2 linked regions of the Styela clava genome follow. The protein of the gene in region 1 binds, or shares a complex with, the protein of each later gene. Links are inferred from orthologs where the notes say so. Each region holds a gene or a part of one and is shown in the gene's direction. Other genes may lie near its edges.

Evidence for each region.
Region 2: the proteins of condensin-2 complex subunit D3-L-like (region 1) and condensin-2 complex subunit H2-like are in contact, whole or in part, in a cryo-EM structure (PDB 9F5W), measured with the Homo sapiens proteins. The link is inferred for Styela clava from reciprocal best matches to the Homo sapiens genes NCAPD3 and NCAPH2. Residues at the interface, in NP_056076.1 of Homo sapiens: Arg589, Pro591, Met629, Glu680, Arg683, Tyr684, His690, Lys724, Glu793, Asp800, Gln803, Arg804, Arg807, Gln817, Leu820, Gln865, Leu866, Cys867, Pro868, Ala869, Arg870, Val871, Val918, Ile925, Lys929, Leu932, Gln933, His934, Ala956, Asn960; in NP_689512.2 of Homo sapiens: Trp22, Ser68, Lys69, Glu72, Tyr75, Tyr79, Leu82, Asp83, Ser86, Ile144, Ile145, Pro146, Leu147, Leu148, Met150, Ala151, Leu152, Val153, Asp156, Glu159, Asn161, Asn162, Asn163, Pro164, Leu165, Tyr166, Ser167, Arg168, Gly170, Leu173.

The regions. Positions count from the first base shown.
Region 1 is NC_135257.1:9,712,065-9,720,142, reverse strand, and holds the start of condensin-2 complex subunit D3-L-like, read left to right. Parts: upstream 1-5,022; 5' UTR 5,023-6,111; intron 6,112-6,554; 5' UTR 6,555-6,613; coding exon 6,614-8,078.
Region 2 is NC_135251.1:18,726,799-18,734,537, reverse strand, and holds condensin-2 complex subunit H2-like, read left to right. Parts: upstream 1-4,789; 5' UTR 4,790-5,428; coding exon 5,429-7,231; 3' UTR 7,232-7,232; downstream 7,233-7,739. UniProt on the Homo sapiens protein: Regulatory subunit of the condensin-2 complex, a complex that seems to provide chromosomes with an additional level of organization and rigidity and in establishing mitotic chromosome architecture.

The DNA.
Region 1 (8,078 bases):
TGGTCAATAACGTGCCTGTTTTGTTTTTGATTGATACCGGTGCGGGTGTCTGGCTCATTGACACCGCTGTTTACTCGTCGTTGCAGGAAGATTCGAACATTTCGGGGCTGCATCCTGTTCCAGTGCCACTCCGTACTGCCGGTTGCGAGTCATTGGTGTCTCATGGTGTACTTGATGTCAACCTGACGATTGAAAGCTGGTCTGTGGAGCATACAGTTGTGGTCGCCGATCCAGGGTCACGTGCGGGTGTCTCGCTCATAGACACCGCTGTTTACTTGACGTTGCGGGAAATTCGGTTCGGGTGTCTCGCTCATAGACACCGCTGTTTACTCGACGTTGCAGGAAATTCGGACATTTCAGAACTGTATTCTTTTCCAGTACCATTGCGTACTGCCAGTGGCGAGTCGTTAGTGTCTCATGGTGCACTTGATGTCAACCTGACGATTGAAAGCTGGCCTGTGGAGCATACCGTTGCCGTCGCCGATCTAGGGTCACGGATGGACTATCTTGGCAAATTCGTCGCATCGTTTTGTTCTTGAGGGACAGGATGTTAACAGCTTCTCCCTGCTGTCATGGGACTATAGTTGAAGTTGTGGTTATACCGGCCGCTCGGGACTGGTTGTTCTAGTTCAGCTGCAACAGCCTTGGCCGTCCGGAGATCTAACATAGTAGCCGTTGTTGAGCCAATGGAGATATGCAACATCAATTTGGTCGTTTCGATGACGTTGGTGGACTCAATCCCGAATGACAAACTTTACGGATGCTTAAGCGTGAGGGTAAACGGCCTGCATATTTTAAAGACATTTGTGGACATAATTTGGTTTTGACTACTGCTTTTCGTGTTTCAAATATTTTTTTTAGAGATGAAAACATTCTTTCATAATGTTCCATCTAGAAGAGGGGGGTAATGTGACGACCCTTGTTTTGCCTGTTAAATGACTTCATGTAATATGCTTCCATATTTGGTATTCTAGGACCCTTGTTTTATCTGTTAAATGACGTCATGTGATATCGTTTCCATATTTGGTATTCTAGCAGTTTAGACGCTGCGACACGGTTGATCGGTTCTCTTGGACAGCGTGGTCTGTTGGTGTATGCTGTGTGTGACAGAGTGCAGTCGTCTGAGTGTTTCGGTTAGATTGGTGGGTTTTGAATGTCTGTGCGAATGCCTCTGGTCTTCAGGAATGTTTGTCTGTGTTGTGTGACTGTCGGATGTTTTGTGCTGGACAGTGGGCTGACGTAGGGACCATGTCTGCATGTTATTGTTTTTACCAGTACAGTGCCATTACAGTTCATTTACCGTAGTGTTGTATTTTCAGTTTTATCGTGGAATTAGCTTTCATCAGTATTGTTCAAATGTTGTGCACCTATAGAATTGTTCATAGTTTTTATAAATGCCTGTCATAAGTTACTTTCGGCCTGTTTTGCAAATTGCAGTAGCTAGTTCATTGTACCAGATTCTAGGGGTCATTTGGTTTTATATTCAGAGTTGTCTGGGATTTCAGGGTTGGTCAGTGTTTTTGTTGTGTATGTGGTCTTTCTTGCATTTTACTGCCTGGTATCTGTTATTTTTATTTTATGCTTTTCGTTCCTTTGGGGAGTGTTTGGTTGTTTTGGATCGTTTACTGTTCGAGTTGTTAATAAATGACATAAAATAGCACAAAGACTTGGACTATTGAGAGAAAACTTGACGTCAGATCATATTAGAAGATATTCTGAACCTGGATAATTATTTCATACATTGCCGGTACGCTACACATGTATAGATCAGTAAAAAAACAAATGACAGATTTTTTCGACAAGACATTTTGCACTACATTGCGTGGCATAGGATTGCTTGAATTATTATTGATATTGATTTTTAGTAACTAAGTCGTTGTATAATTATATTAATATACAAACACATGGAAATTTTCTGTTCGAAGTTGGTCTTCGAATTTGTCATATTGACTGCTGAGCTTATTGTGTGTTTTGATTGTATTGATGGAAATATGACAAATTTAACAATGTGCTTCAGAATTTTGTGAAGAGCAGAAATGTTACAGCTCCCATTTTCTTCGAAAATGCCACCTTCTTCATGTACTTTGCGTTTAATTTAATTACTCAAGTGCTACCATTCGTGCTACGCCTTGAAAGCAGCACACATCCGCTCGTTTTCGTCTCGTCAAGTATGTGCATTGGAGCGTGCTATCGAATACGATCTTCGGACAAAAATGCCGGAGTTGCGCATCATGTTGTTTAATGTCATTGTTCAGAGTAAATAGTTCATCTATTTTCAGTTCCACCATCCGAGTGTGCGAAGGAAAGAGATTCCATGCAAGTCTGTGTATCTGGGACGTTGTCTAACCTGTAATCGGTTTTCACTTGTAACCGGCGACAAAGTGGTCCGTCATAAATTATAACATGTTTTTCTTAAGCGAACAACGATCTCCAACCACTGGAAATTTCAAAGAAATTGGTGTGGTAGTTGAACAACAACGTGGTCCGTCATAAATTATAACATGTTTTTCTTAAGCGAACAACGATCTCCAACCACTGGAAATTTCGAAGAAATTGGTCTGGTAGTTGAACAACAAATATAAAAACAAGAAAAAGAATACAGCCAACAACAAACAATCCATAGGTCTACCTCATGTCAAATAATAAGAAATCATATCCTTGATTAATCAATGAAAATTTATATATTAGTATTTATTTTTTGCCTAAATTATGGAAATATATCATATTTTACGACGCATCACCGCAAGCTGTCGCATGATACCAACTTGTACGTTGGCGGGTTTTGCGAATTTGCGCGGTTTACCCTTTAGAATGGGAAATAACATGTAATATTAATCGGATGGGACATTCGATTATAGTACCGGTATCGTGGTTAGACAAATAAATAATAGAATAATACTGATAAAGTTTTAAAAAGTATTAATGGGGAAAGACTTGTAGGCGCGGCGGTGTGGCTCAACGGGTTAAGCGTTACAGCGTTAGGAATACGCTCGCCACCGCACCTCTAATTACTCTGCGTGGGTTCGCAGGTTCGATTCCCATGCAGGGATGGTTATGTGCGAGAGGATTGCTGGACTCCTCGCCGTCGTTGGGTGGTTCACGTAACCGCTGGTCGGTTACGGCTTCCTCCACCACCAAGTCCATGCTTCCGAAAACAAACAATACAGTATAACTAACTAATCCCATACCCGACTTGGAATGGTAACCGGACGAGAGGCCGTGGTTCGCCATATGGATAAGCCGTCTTATCGGCTTTCCTCTCCCCCGGGATAAATATGTAAATCCTATCCTATCCTATCCTCCTAATTATCCGTAATTCAAATCTCAGTATAACTTGTAACAGTATTCATAATAAAATTTTGGCAAATTATACGAGGACCTTCAACTATAAGTTAATATGGGATATTCTACCCTTGAAAACAAAACCAGAGATCAAAAGAGTAGCAGGAAATGAATTATGTTTATTATGTAATATAGAACCTGAGTTTGTGTCACATATTTTTATGTTTTGTGAGTTTACTCAGAAAATTTATGATGATTTTGTTTCCTTAATTATATTAAAATTAATTAGAATAAATTTTGTTATAAATTATGATTCTTGTATATTATTGAATTTTAATGATCCTTTATTTAGTCATATAACAGCATTAGATTTGAATGCAATTATTCTTTTATTATCAATAGTGCGATATAAAATTTGGATAATGAGAAATTCTATAATATTTGAAAATAAAACACCTGACATTGCTCTCCTTAAAAAACAGATAAAAATGGCCCTAATGTATAGAAAAAATATAGAAAATTCCAGAGTAGACAAACTCTTTGAAAAAGAATTACAAAATTTATGTAAAGCATTAATTTAGATATTAAATCAGGTTTATAATAAGTTTTTTGTATTTACTAATTTTGTGTTTTTCCTTTTTTATTGTATTATATCATTGTAATTATTAAAATAACATTATTATCGTTGGATACTTATTACTGATGAAACAAACTGGAAATACTGTGAAACTCAATTTAACAAATGGATCATGAATGGAATGTGGACTATAATTTATTTTATTTGTTTATTTATTTTTTACATATTTATTGAAATCACTCAATGAGTGAACCAATTAAAAAAAAAAAAAAAAACCTTGTGTAAGGTTTTGCTTGCTCTTTTAATTTCATAATCATTTTTTATTTATTTGTTTTTATCAATCATTTTATCGCCTGTTACCGGTATCTGGTTATGCTGAATATGGAGTTGAAATAAACTTATACTGGGTACCTGTCGCACGCCTTTCAAACATTTCCACAATCCACACAAATTGATTAGAAGCCGCAGTCTGATCGCAATCTAACATGGGATTTAATATAGTCTACGATGCCACGCATATGTTCTTACTTACACCGCAAAGAGCACGAAACAGCGCAAAACAGTGGGGAAAGAGCGCAAAACAGAGGGAAACAGTGTAAAGCAGAAAAAAATTTTGCAATGAGTTCGGGACACCTTGTTTTGAGTTGGAGTACCACGGCAGCAAATTAAAAACACAAACCAACGTATGTAGCCAGTAATGCTGTAATGGCAGGTCTGCCCCTGCTGGTGACACATTTTGGGTACCATAATTTAGAACATTTTACATATGGATATGGTTGGCTTTAGGGTTAGGGCTAGGTAAAAAGGGACCTCCAGAAGTATGTGCACCAAGATGGCGCACAACCTAAAAATAGTATCTGTTTGTGTGTAGCGGATTCAGGTTGTGCGACATATTGCTGCACACACACACACACCAAAAAGGTAGATAAAATTTCGCATGATGACCTATAATCCGGTACATAACCTTGTAAATATACCGGAAATAGCGCCATAAAACCATGGCGAGAGGCGCCGTGGTTCTTTCGTGGCAGAAGGTGGTAATGACTGCGTCTCCTGTTTTGCGCTGTTTCTCTTCTGTTTTGCGCTGGTTTCCATCTGTTTCGCGCTGTTTTCCTCTGTTTCGCGCTCTTTGCGGTGTTTCGCGCTGTATTCAGTAAGTAGTAAGACCCGACTGGCTGTAATAACTTTTGAATGTAAATTAATTGTATACCGGTACTTAGACTATAATTGATAGTTTGAATGTGTATGATGTCAAAATGGCAAACATAGGCATATGAAATTGTTGCTGTTCTGTATGACAAAATTATAAAAAATCTTAATGCGATAATATCGGAAAGGCAGGTAGCCTAATTAAGTTATCTGTAATTCAAATACTGAAATAAGAGTAATTTCTCAATTTGCATTAGTAGACTATTCCATGTATTCCTAATGAAATTTTCGCAAATTATGTTAACACTTTTTAAATCACTTTGGGGTATGTTGCTATTAAATACAAAAACAGAGATTAAAAGAATAGTAGAAAATGAAATGTATTTTTAGGCCTAATGTACCGGTAATAAAGAATCAGAGTTTGTATCACATATTTCTATGTCTTGCAGTCTTGTGAACTTGCACAGAAAATCTATGATGATTTTGTTTGTTTAATTATATTAAAATTAATTAGAATACATTTGGTTATAAATTATGATTCCGGCATGTTATGTAATTTTACCCTTATTCAGTCATACCACCACTGTAGATTTGAATGCAACTATTCTTTTGTTATCAATAGTGCGATATAAAATTTGGATGATGAAAAAATTCTTTTTTTTTTTCAAACCGTATTGCTCTCCACAAAAAGCAGATAAAAATGTCCATAATGTGTAGAAACAATATAGAAAATTCTTGAGTTAACAAACCCTTACAAAAAGAAATTAAAGAATTTAAATTAAAGAACCCTTAAAGAAATTACAAAATTTATTCGATGCATTATTTCAAATAGGGAATTAAATGTCTATGATATATTTTTTGCATTTCCCAATTTTCTCCCTTTTTTTTTATTGTTTTTTCAATGTGAAAAATATCCCAAATTTTTATTTCTTTATTCAAATAAAAATCTGTCTTGCAGAGAACGCCAGACCCTATTTGACTTGGGATATACCGGTACCTGCTTATTTGAAAATTGAGTAGGATTCGTTTTAACTAATCTTCAACGCATCTGTCAAGAATTTCATTTCGTATTAGATATGTGTAATCTTTCCATTTTACTTACGGTAACAATAAATATCTTACATCACATTTTTGTTAGGAGTCATTGTGTTATTTACTGATATAAACAGTTGTGGCGTTTACTGTGCTAGACCCCTATTATTAAATTATTCCTACAATAATGTACTACTGTACCATATCTTCATGTATATATTCTGTATCTCATGTCTTCGTCGTACAGAATACATTCTGTTTTCATACAGTTTTGCTTGCTTGCTTTAGGCTGTCTACAAGTTTTCATTTGCTATTCTATGGGCCTATCTTTCATATTTCAATAAGAATTATTTAATAAGACTTAGGAATTAATGCTAATGGTTGCTTTAATGCCCACAATTAATGCTTGCTTTATTTATGTCACTATCATTCATCTGTGAACATTATTTTTCAATGTATTGATAAAGGGATTTTTTCAATAATGTTGTTGTAATCTCCCCCTGCCTTTTCACAGAACGCAATTGATTTTTTACTGAATCTGACAAATAAAGCAGTCATTCAGTCACAATCACAATGAATGAGAACTTGATCTTGGATATATTTCAATCGTTGGAACTGACAAATCTAGATGAGGAATGGGTTGATCGAATGCATTCATCAGAATTTACAGATGACCCAGAAATTGACATTGACATACCTTCTTCAGCTATCAATAACCTGGAAGACTTGAATTTAGCACTTCGAAATGGATCTAAGCTACTTGCGAACTTGTCTGGTCAAACAAGGTGCTCTTTGTTGAATGAACTTCTTAAAATTGGAATTACAAGTAAAGTCATTCAGTCTTGGATATATTATCTTTTCCACGTTGGTCTGAAAATGTCTGCTAGCTTTGAGCAGACACTATTATGTTTACTTGCAGCGGACTTTTACTTTTTGCTACTTCAGTTGCCTGGTATGAGTTCATCACAATTACATCATGCTATACTTTTTGAAAAAGCTGTGAATTCTCTACAGATGGTGACACAAGTTGATGCCACAATGTCTGAAGAAGTAGGACGCAAAAGAAAAGCAAATGTACCCCTAAGTCAATCACAGAAGCGGCGAAAGGCGAGCAATGATAAGAATACACAAGAAGAAGAAGATCATGGCAATGTTGTTATAACTCCATCGCAAATGGCAAATCTTTACAGGCTCCTTAATTTAACATTGACTGATTTCTGTAAATATTTAGCATCTGTTTCATTGAGGTCTAATGAGGTGTCGTTGAAACATGCTATGCAAGTCTTGGTGAAAATTGCAAATTGTTTGAAAACGAATGCTCCAATAAGCATTATAGATTACAAAAGTTTTCGTAGTGATGGTTCTACTGCGGACAGTTTTAGACTCCCATATCAACAAGCTGTTTATGCCTTGTTTTTGACAATTTCAGTAAAACATGGTGATGTTCATCAGTTGTGTTTGACCTTATTTCGATTCATTTTGCCCATAATTATAATGAGAGATGCTAACATTCCATCGTCTACTGTTTCACGATCCTTCTTTCAAAACTCGGAAATATTCCGAAAACTTGTTTGTCATTTGTTTGATGTTCATGGAGATTCCGTTTCCCATAGTATATCTGTACTGACACAAAACTTGATTGCTCAGTGTCCTGATCGTACAGAATTTCGCAATCATCTTGCAACCATCGTATCATGTATTTTGCAGCACATGCCTACAAATTGGTATGCTGACTTCTGTGATTGGCTCAGAAGAATGGCAGTACATTCAAAAATTGTATATCGAAGTAATACACTGGCAACTGTGGGGAAATTGCTTTGTATGCCCGAGCGTCTGAATGATGAGAATGATTCTCTCGATCCAGACACTCTTGTTTCCACAAAGCACAGCTATTTGCTAAAGATAGTTGTTGGAAGATTGTTAGATGTGTCTCCATCTGTGCGATCGAGAGCTTTGCATGTTCTTGTTGAAATGATGGAGGAGGGGATTGTTTCTCCAACAGCGCTACAGGAGGTCGTGGATGCAAGAGGAAAAGATT
Region 2 (7,739 bases), on another chromosome or scaffold:
CATCATGGTTACCTCTTTATCACTCAAGTGTAGTTGAATGAGGTAGGCAGTGCCACAATGAAAAGATATGATAGGATTTACATATTTATCCCGGGGGAGAGGAAAGGCGATAAGAAGTCATATATTAATCATATGGTGAGCTACTGCCTCTCGTCCGGTTACTGGTCCAGGTCGAACCTGCGATCCCACGAAGGGCCAGAGATGCGCCACACCGCCGAGCCCTCCCCGAAATAGTGGCTTTTTAGATATTCGTAGCTGCTTGTACAGGGCCTTGTTCAAAGCAAAATGTAGAAACAAGCACGGTATAAAAAACCCTATCATAACACAGGAATAATCAAATTGTAAATTATTATGCCCTTGTACTGAGATTACTGCCAACAGTCACGCTCCCATGATGCCTCTTTGCTATATGAATTTGTATGGGACCTAGTCTGACCATACCTACCCCAGATATTAGTTCATATTTTCGTCATAAAACTATATTGGGTTCAGAGACATATCTTTGTGCGAAGACTTATATTCTATTATCTATGATGATTACCATATTATAACTGCATAGCCCTTATTTTAGTCTTTACTATTTCATAACAATTTATTTTTGAAAACTGGTGTTAAAAATGTTTTTGCTTTAAATAATAACTGAATAGTATTTAGTAGTAATAATACTCATTCAGATTGGCAGTGTTTTGTATAAAGTGGAGTAAAACCATGGCAATTCTTGACCTTCTTTGAGGCACAAATACCAGAATATTATGTTTTTTCCAAGCTTCATACAGTCATAGCTAATATAAATTTTTATATGTAGACTTTATAGGTTTTATTTCTTGTTTATCCAATATAGCTGTTTGTTAGCCATGTGAATTTTTGTTCATACAGATAACTGGATAACAAAATTTATTCTATATAGACTAGGCAAGACAAGTTTTTATGGTTTCAAGGATTGAAGGGTGCAACAGTTGTGCCGATATACGGACTTATAACTTTGCTGCGTCACTGGTGACAAGGTTTTTAATTATTTTTTTCTCAAAATTCGTTTGAATTAAGGGAGCAGTATTATCTTACTACCCTCAGAAAAATTGTTCCAGTTATCATACTAACGATTACACATCTCTTTATAACGCTAGCTGTATGATAGAGTAGACTACAGCACAAAGGATCACCAAATCATTAATGTTTAAACGAACCATGGCTTTCAGGCGTATAACTTTCAGACTTTGCTATATTGAAAAAGGACGTACCAGGTACACAAAAACATACTCATGTGGCCAAGTGAACGACTCTGCAAGTCACGGGTTTTCAAACACGCAATTCTCTGCACAAATCGTCCAAGCAATATAAGCAAAAACATCCAGTAAAAATCAATCCGCCATAAGAAAATCCGTCGCAGAAAAGTTGAGGCAAGCAAGAAGCAACCACTAAGCAGCAGAGATGAGCGGAGTCAGAATTTTCAGACTCCGACTCCGTCCTGATCCGAAATCAAAATTCGAACTCGGAGTCCGACTCCGAACAAAGAAAACTATGACTCCTGTTTCGCTCCTGTTGACAAATCTAATATTGACCAAATTTAGTGTTCACTACAGCAGCAACATCAAAAACTGGCTGCGCTGATGTATTTTATGATGTTTTTCCATCCTGACATCTGAAACATTTGAGAATATCTGAAAATATTCATTATTATGTTTCCCAAACTCACATTTAAACATTGCTAAAACTAAAACCACTGACTATGGGGGGGGACTATGGGGGATCAACTGGGGGGACTGACTATAGATAGATAGATAGTTAGATAGATAGTTTATTTCGAAAACTCCATAACAAACCTGAATTTAAAATGGAGAATTCTGGAGGGCAAGCAAAACCTACAAAAAAGTTTAAAACATGAAGTATCTCATGTGCCTGCCCACCAGCACGCACACAAAAACACAAGCCCAATTAAATGAGGCTTGGGCCAAACTTAAAAAACAAAATACACGATAGTAATAAACTTTCGGGCTGTTGTACTCTCTTTCAACAATTACGTTGACAATGACCAATACCTACAACCTCATGCAAAGATAATGTGGGGAGTGGAATGTAATAAATTTGCGACGATAGTCATACTCATGAAGCCATGAAAGCTTTAAGAGAAACCAAGCCATGAAAAACTACACTGATTGCTAAATTGGGCATTGCGGAAAAGGTGATAAGTGTTTAATATACAAACAAACGCAAAACCATGGCGGCAAATTCGGTGTGCGGACACTCATAAAAGCAATTATTAGGATTATAGTGTTCACTACAGCAGCATCTAAACATTGCAAAGTCACACTAGCGCACACTCATTACTATGTTCAATGACATAACAAAATTCAGGGATCGTATAAAAAATTAGTTATAGTCATAGAATAATATTTTGCTTGAGGCTTGCTCACCCCATTAATTCAGTGTTCACTACAATCACATTTAAATATTGCAAAGTCTGCATAGAACTGATGCTTCATAGCCACAATTACATTCAAGTATTCAACATTATTCTTCGCCAAGAGCATGTTCCATCTGTTGATTATACAGTGAGTGTTCTACATAACAGTGAACAGTATAGGATGCATTTCCTTGGTAATGCACACCAAATTCACGACACATACCGGTACAGGCATGTCTGCATGTGAGTTCCGGTACCGGTATTCGCTACAACCCGACAACCGCATCCAAACACAGAACACCAGAACTCTGTTTAAAATTATAAAACACCCAGTTCAGGCTTGTACCGATACAGAAGTGGTAAACACAGATTCATAAATGGTACCGTAAAAGCGCCTAACTTCGGACAAAATTACTATACTTTCGTCAATAACTCGGCCATTTATTGTCCAAACGGTGCCAAAATTGCTCGGTAAAACATTCGTGCGGTAATTTACATTCCCTGCAAATTTCGGTTCAATTGGACTATTTTTACTATTGAAATAATCGATATTTCTTGCCATCTGACCGTTATCCTTCACTGCCCTAACTTCGGACAGTCATTTTCTTCACTGCGTAACCGCGACGCACAGAGAGAAAGAGGCTTCCGATGCGGATGACGTAATCACGTCGTTGCGTGAAGATAAGACGCTCGATCGTCGTCGTAACGTAACATTGACGTCACGACGAAAATGCATTATTTGAAACTTCCGTCGTCCTATGTTTACATCTTTCGTTCGTTATTTTCGATACTTCCGATGAGTATAATAACACGTTAGTCATTTTAATCAGGAAATGCATACGTAAATATATCTGATGCGGCCCGTTTCAATCCACAATTAAGTATTTTAACGGGCTTCTATGGAAGTCTTTGAAGTATTAAATATTCTCGACAGATAGCTTTTTTTATTCTGCGCGGTTATCTTTATAAATGATAATTTATATCAAACACAAGGTAAATCCGATTGTAAAGTTTAATTTAAAATTCAACTTAATCTTGTGAACATGTAGGTCCCGTTTATTTGTTGGAGATTTAATTTCGAGTGAATAAAATTCACCCAGGCCGTATTCAATGACTGTCATTTCGACTACTAATCATAAAATAATGGCTAAGTCAGTGCACTGTGCCATATGGACGTTGGAATTATCATAGTTTTATATATTCGATTTTTAACGTCATCGATTAAGTGTGACATTTATTTTCATTAATGTAATTTTGGCATATATTCATACATGACCGAACAAAATACAAAAATATTACGTTGGAACGCCGTCTTTATCTTAACGGAAATTGTCATATTGGCTCCGTTGTGTCTGGCGTCAAAATTCATTTCCGCGACGCAGTGTGACGTCGTTTCGGAAGTGAGCGAAAAATAATCTACGTGAGGTTGACGTAATTTTTGACGCTGCGTGAAATCTTAATATTCTTACGGAATTTATAATTTAGAATTTTAGGTTTTATTTAAATCTCGTACGACATCTTGCGATCACTCAAATAAATTATATACATTGTTGTCGCCCTCTACCGAATGATGGTATTTTGACGACGATAGCTTCAGTAGGAGCGACGCTCTGCGCCGTTGAATGCCGGGCAGTCAATTTTAGGCAAAATTTACGTTTTTTTACCAAAAAAATAATTATGCAACATTAAAAAAGATGAGAATAGATGTAGATATAACAGCGCAACCTATAATACAGTAATAATTGAAATTAGCAATATACGGCGCGTTTTAGCCAAGATATGGCCGTTCAAAAATTTTGTCCGAAGTTAGGGACTGTCCGAAGTTAGGCGCTTTTACGGTACCGGTAGCATCCTGAAGAAGCACGAATATGTATTAATATTTATGTACGGTACGGTACCGGTACAGATAATTCAAGTCCGTTCAAATTATGCCTGCACCGGTACGTACAGACGTACGGTACTTCTATCGGTCACGGTATATTATAGATTTAGTTGGGACTCCTGATTGACTCCGGGCAACCAAGAATGTTCCCACTCCTGATCCGATCCTGTTTGTTGAAAACCGTGCCGGAGTCCTGTTTTTCGGAGTCCTGAATCCTGTTTGTGCTCAACACTACTAAGCAGTCAAATCATCAAAAACTATTGGCGGGCAAATTCGTCATGCGTAACGGGGAAAGTTCTCATTTAGAAAAACTTTGTGCTTTCAGGTGTCCGGATTTCAGACGTTGCGGTAGTTATGCTTTTGCTGTGTCGCCTGTGCTTCGGTCATTCTGTCCTAGTAGACTGCTATACCTGTATCTTTTCATAGCAAATACGTTACTGTGATATTTATGTAATTGCAGCCAAGCGTGTCCAAGCTAAAGAAAGGCTTACTATATTTGAATATATCAGTTTGCTGGTTTGTGATACACACTACAGCACTACGGTACACGTCCAGACAACTAGACGTCGTTTGACAAAGATGGTGCCCGGTACGGTACAATACATTTCGTAATCATAGGACCTACGGGTATTGCATACGGTAACCTAACTTGCTTTTTTTCTGTTCCCTTCTTTCTGCTTCTGAATCCATGATACGTTCAGACTGTCAGGTGTTGCTTTACACTCTTCAGCACTTACTAACTTGAGCAAAACAAAAAAGTTGGACTTTAGATTTACTTTTTGCTGCATTAAGGGCTTTACTACTGTACTACAATTTTCTATAATTGTACATCACAGTAAAAGACTATATACAGATATATTGTCCTTTTATGTATACAATCTGACAATTCATGGAAAAGTAAGGAAAGAATGTATTTTGAAATTCTGATATGTGAAAAATGCCTAGTGACGGGTGTTAAATAAAATTCTTTCCCTAATGCTGTAATGAGTCTTATGAGTGTAATTCAGCAATTTCTGCAACCTTTACTAATCACAGCTGAGTGATGGTTCTTTTTCACTGTATTTTTTTATCATGGTATATTTCTGTTTAATCAAGTTGCAATCATTGTTTCCTCATAAGATAATTAGAGGAACCTAAACGTAAATATGGTGTTATCAGAAGATCTTCAGAAAAAGTATGGCTTCTTGCTACAGCCAATAAAGGATATTACTAAGAATTGGGAAATAGATTTAACACATGTTTTGGAAGAATATATGGAAGAATTAGAAAAAATGACTTTTGAATTTGACAATGGAAAAACTGTGCTTAATTTTGCGGAAGCATCCTTGCTCATTCAAGGTACAGCCTGTGTATGGAGTAAAAAAGTTGAATACTTATATGTTCTTGTAAAACAGACGCTAGAAATGATCACAAACAGACAGAAAGAGGTTCCCGATGAAAATCCCAACAATTCTTCTAGTGATAAAACTATTGATCCCAATTTTGACGATGATGAAGAAAAATTGCTAAATCTGAATGATGTTGCAATAACTTCGAAAAGAGAATTCACTTCGAATTATGACCCAATTACACCTATTCCTATAACCCCTACAGCAATGCTTGAAAATGATAATGATGAAAGAGGAAGATTGATATTGTCTGAAAACAAGAATGACTCCGTTTGTTACACAAATGATTTTTGGGAGAATCGATTTATCCCATTTGAAAAAAGAATGAGTGTTCTTGATAGAGATTCAGGTGGGTTTTTGGATGAAATTATTGTTCCATCATTAGAAGAATTAGAAATTGCTCCGATGAACATTTTTTCTCGGTCTGAAGAACCTGTGGAGACAAATTCTGTCCGAGAAGAAATGGATAATTTTGGTGGAATGGACGAGTCCATGGATGCAGGAGCTGCTGCTGATGACATGGATGATGCTCCTCCATTCGTTGAAAATTTAGAACAAGAAAAAACTGTTATAGAAAGAATGCAGTTAAGAGAAAGGTTTCTTGCCAAGCCTGTACCCATACATGAAACCCCAGTTTTTCCCACCATCCTTGATCCACATGAGCATTGTAGAATACCTTGCTTTGCGGTCAAAAAATATGAAAAAATCAGGTCCCATTGTATTCCAGCTTCTATTCGCCAATCTAAAACCACTAGAAAAAGAAAGATTAACAGCCCGACTGTGGATAAAGTTGAAGAAATATCACTTTTCATAATGAACAAAGGTTACAAGAAAAGGAGAGACATTAAGTATCATGACAAATGTCTTGAGAAATTCATAGCTGCAGAAACTAAAGAAAGAGCTTTACTTTGGAAAAATATAAAACTATTAGCTATGACAAGTGATGTTGACCATTCACTTGGAATGCCTGGAAAAGATGTAGGCCCTGATGCGGTGTTTGGCGAAGAAGAACAACTTGAACCAATGAATCATGACTCGACAATACATTCGGATCATTTTTCACCTGACCTAGATGACCTTATTGGTGATGTGGTAGATAATCAAGGCAAGGGGAATCATACTGCACATGAAACTGTAAGCAGTCCCACTTCTTATGAAGACCTCGTTCGCCACCATGTTGAAATGTTCTATTCTGCTGCTAGGCGTTTCAAAGAAGAAACTGCGTTGTCACAAAGAGTAAAGTTATGGGATGAATCTATTACTCCACGTCTTGCAGAACAAAATTCAAGACCGGAATTTGACATCCATAAGTATGGAGGAATGATGCTGAAAAAATTTGAAAAGCCACAAGATACTAAATTATTTGAAGATGCTATTGAATCGCCAAATTCATGGTACATTTGTAGACTATTTGCAGCTACATTGCAGCTTGTTAATGACAACAATTTTCTTATAAGTAAAGATTCTGATTTCCAAAAGTCTGTTAACACAATGAAATTAACGCTGTTGAGTCATCATAGACTCTGTGAACGTTTTGATGATTATTCTTCGAAATCCTAAATTTTGATGAAAAACGTCTAGTCGTCTTATATTTTCGGTTTTAAAAAGTTTTATTAGGTAAATCACGCCCTAAAAAGTTTATTGTTTATGATCATTGCTATTCTGTTTTTTCTTTATTTCAGCCTCACAAATTAGGCATTTTTGTTGATATTGGGAGTTATCTCAACTTTTGTGTTATTTCCAAGGGGTGGTTATCATTTTCACATTCACATATTTATTTTACTTCTTTTTTTTCACTTTTTATGGGCCATATCGAATCCAAGCCTCTTTTGATAGTCTCTTTGTATTTTTGCATTCAAACACATGTTGGGAAACATTGACACAAATTTGATTTGGTGCTTTGATTTAAGAAATTTTGTTAGTTAGTAAATTGTTGTAAAATAATATGCATCTGTTATATAGAATTTCTTTCTTCGATAAGGACGATAACCCACTAACACTTTCTCATTAAAAGCATTTCTCAAATAGATGGTCATTAGTCATTATCAATAGCTGACTCCGCCATAGT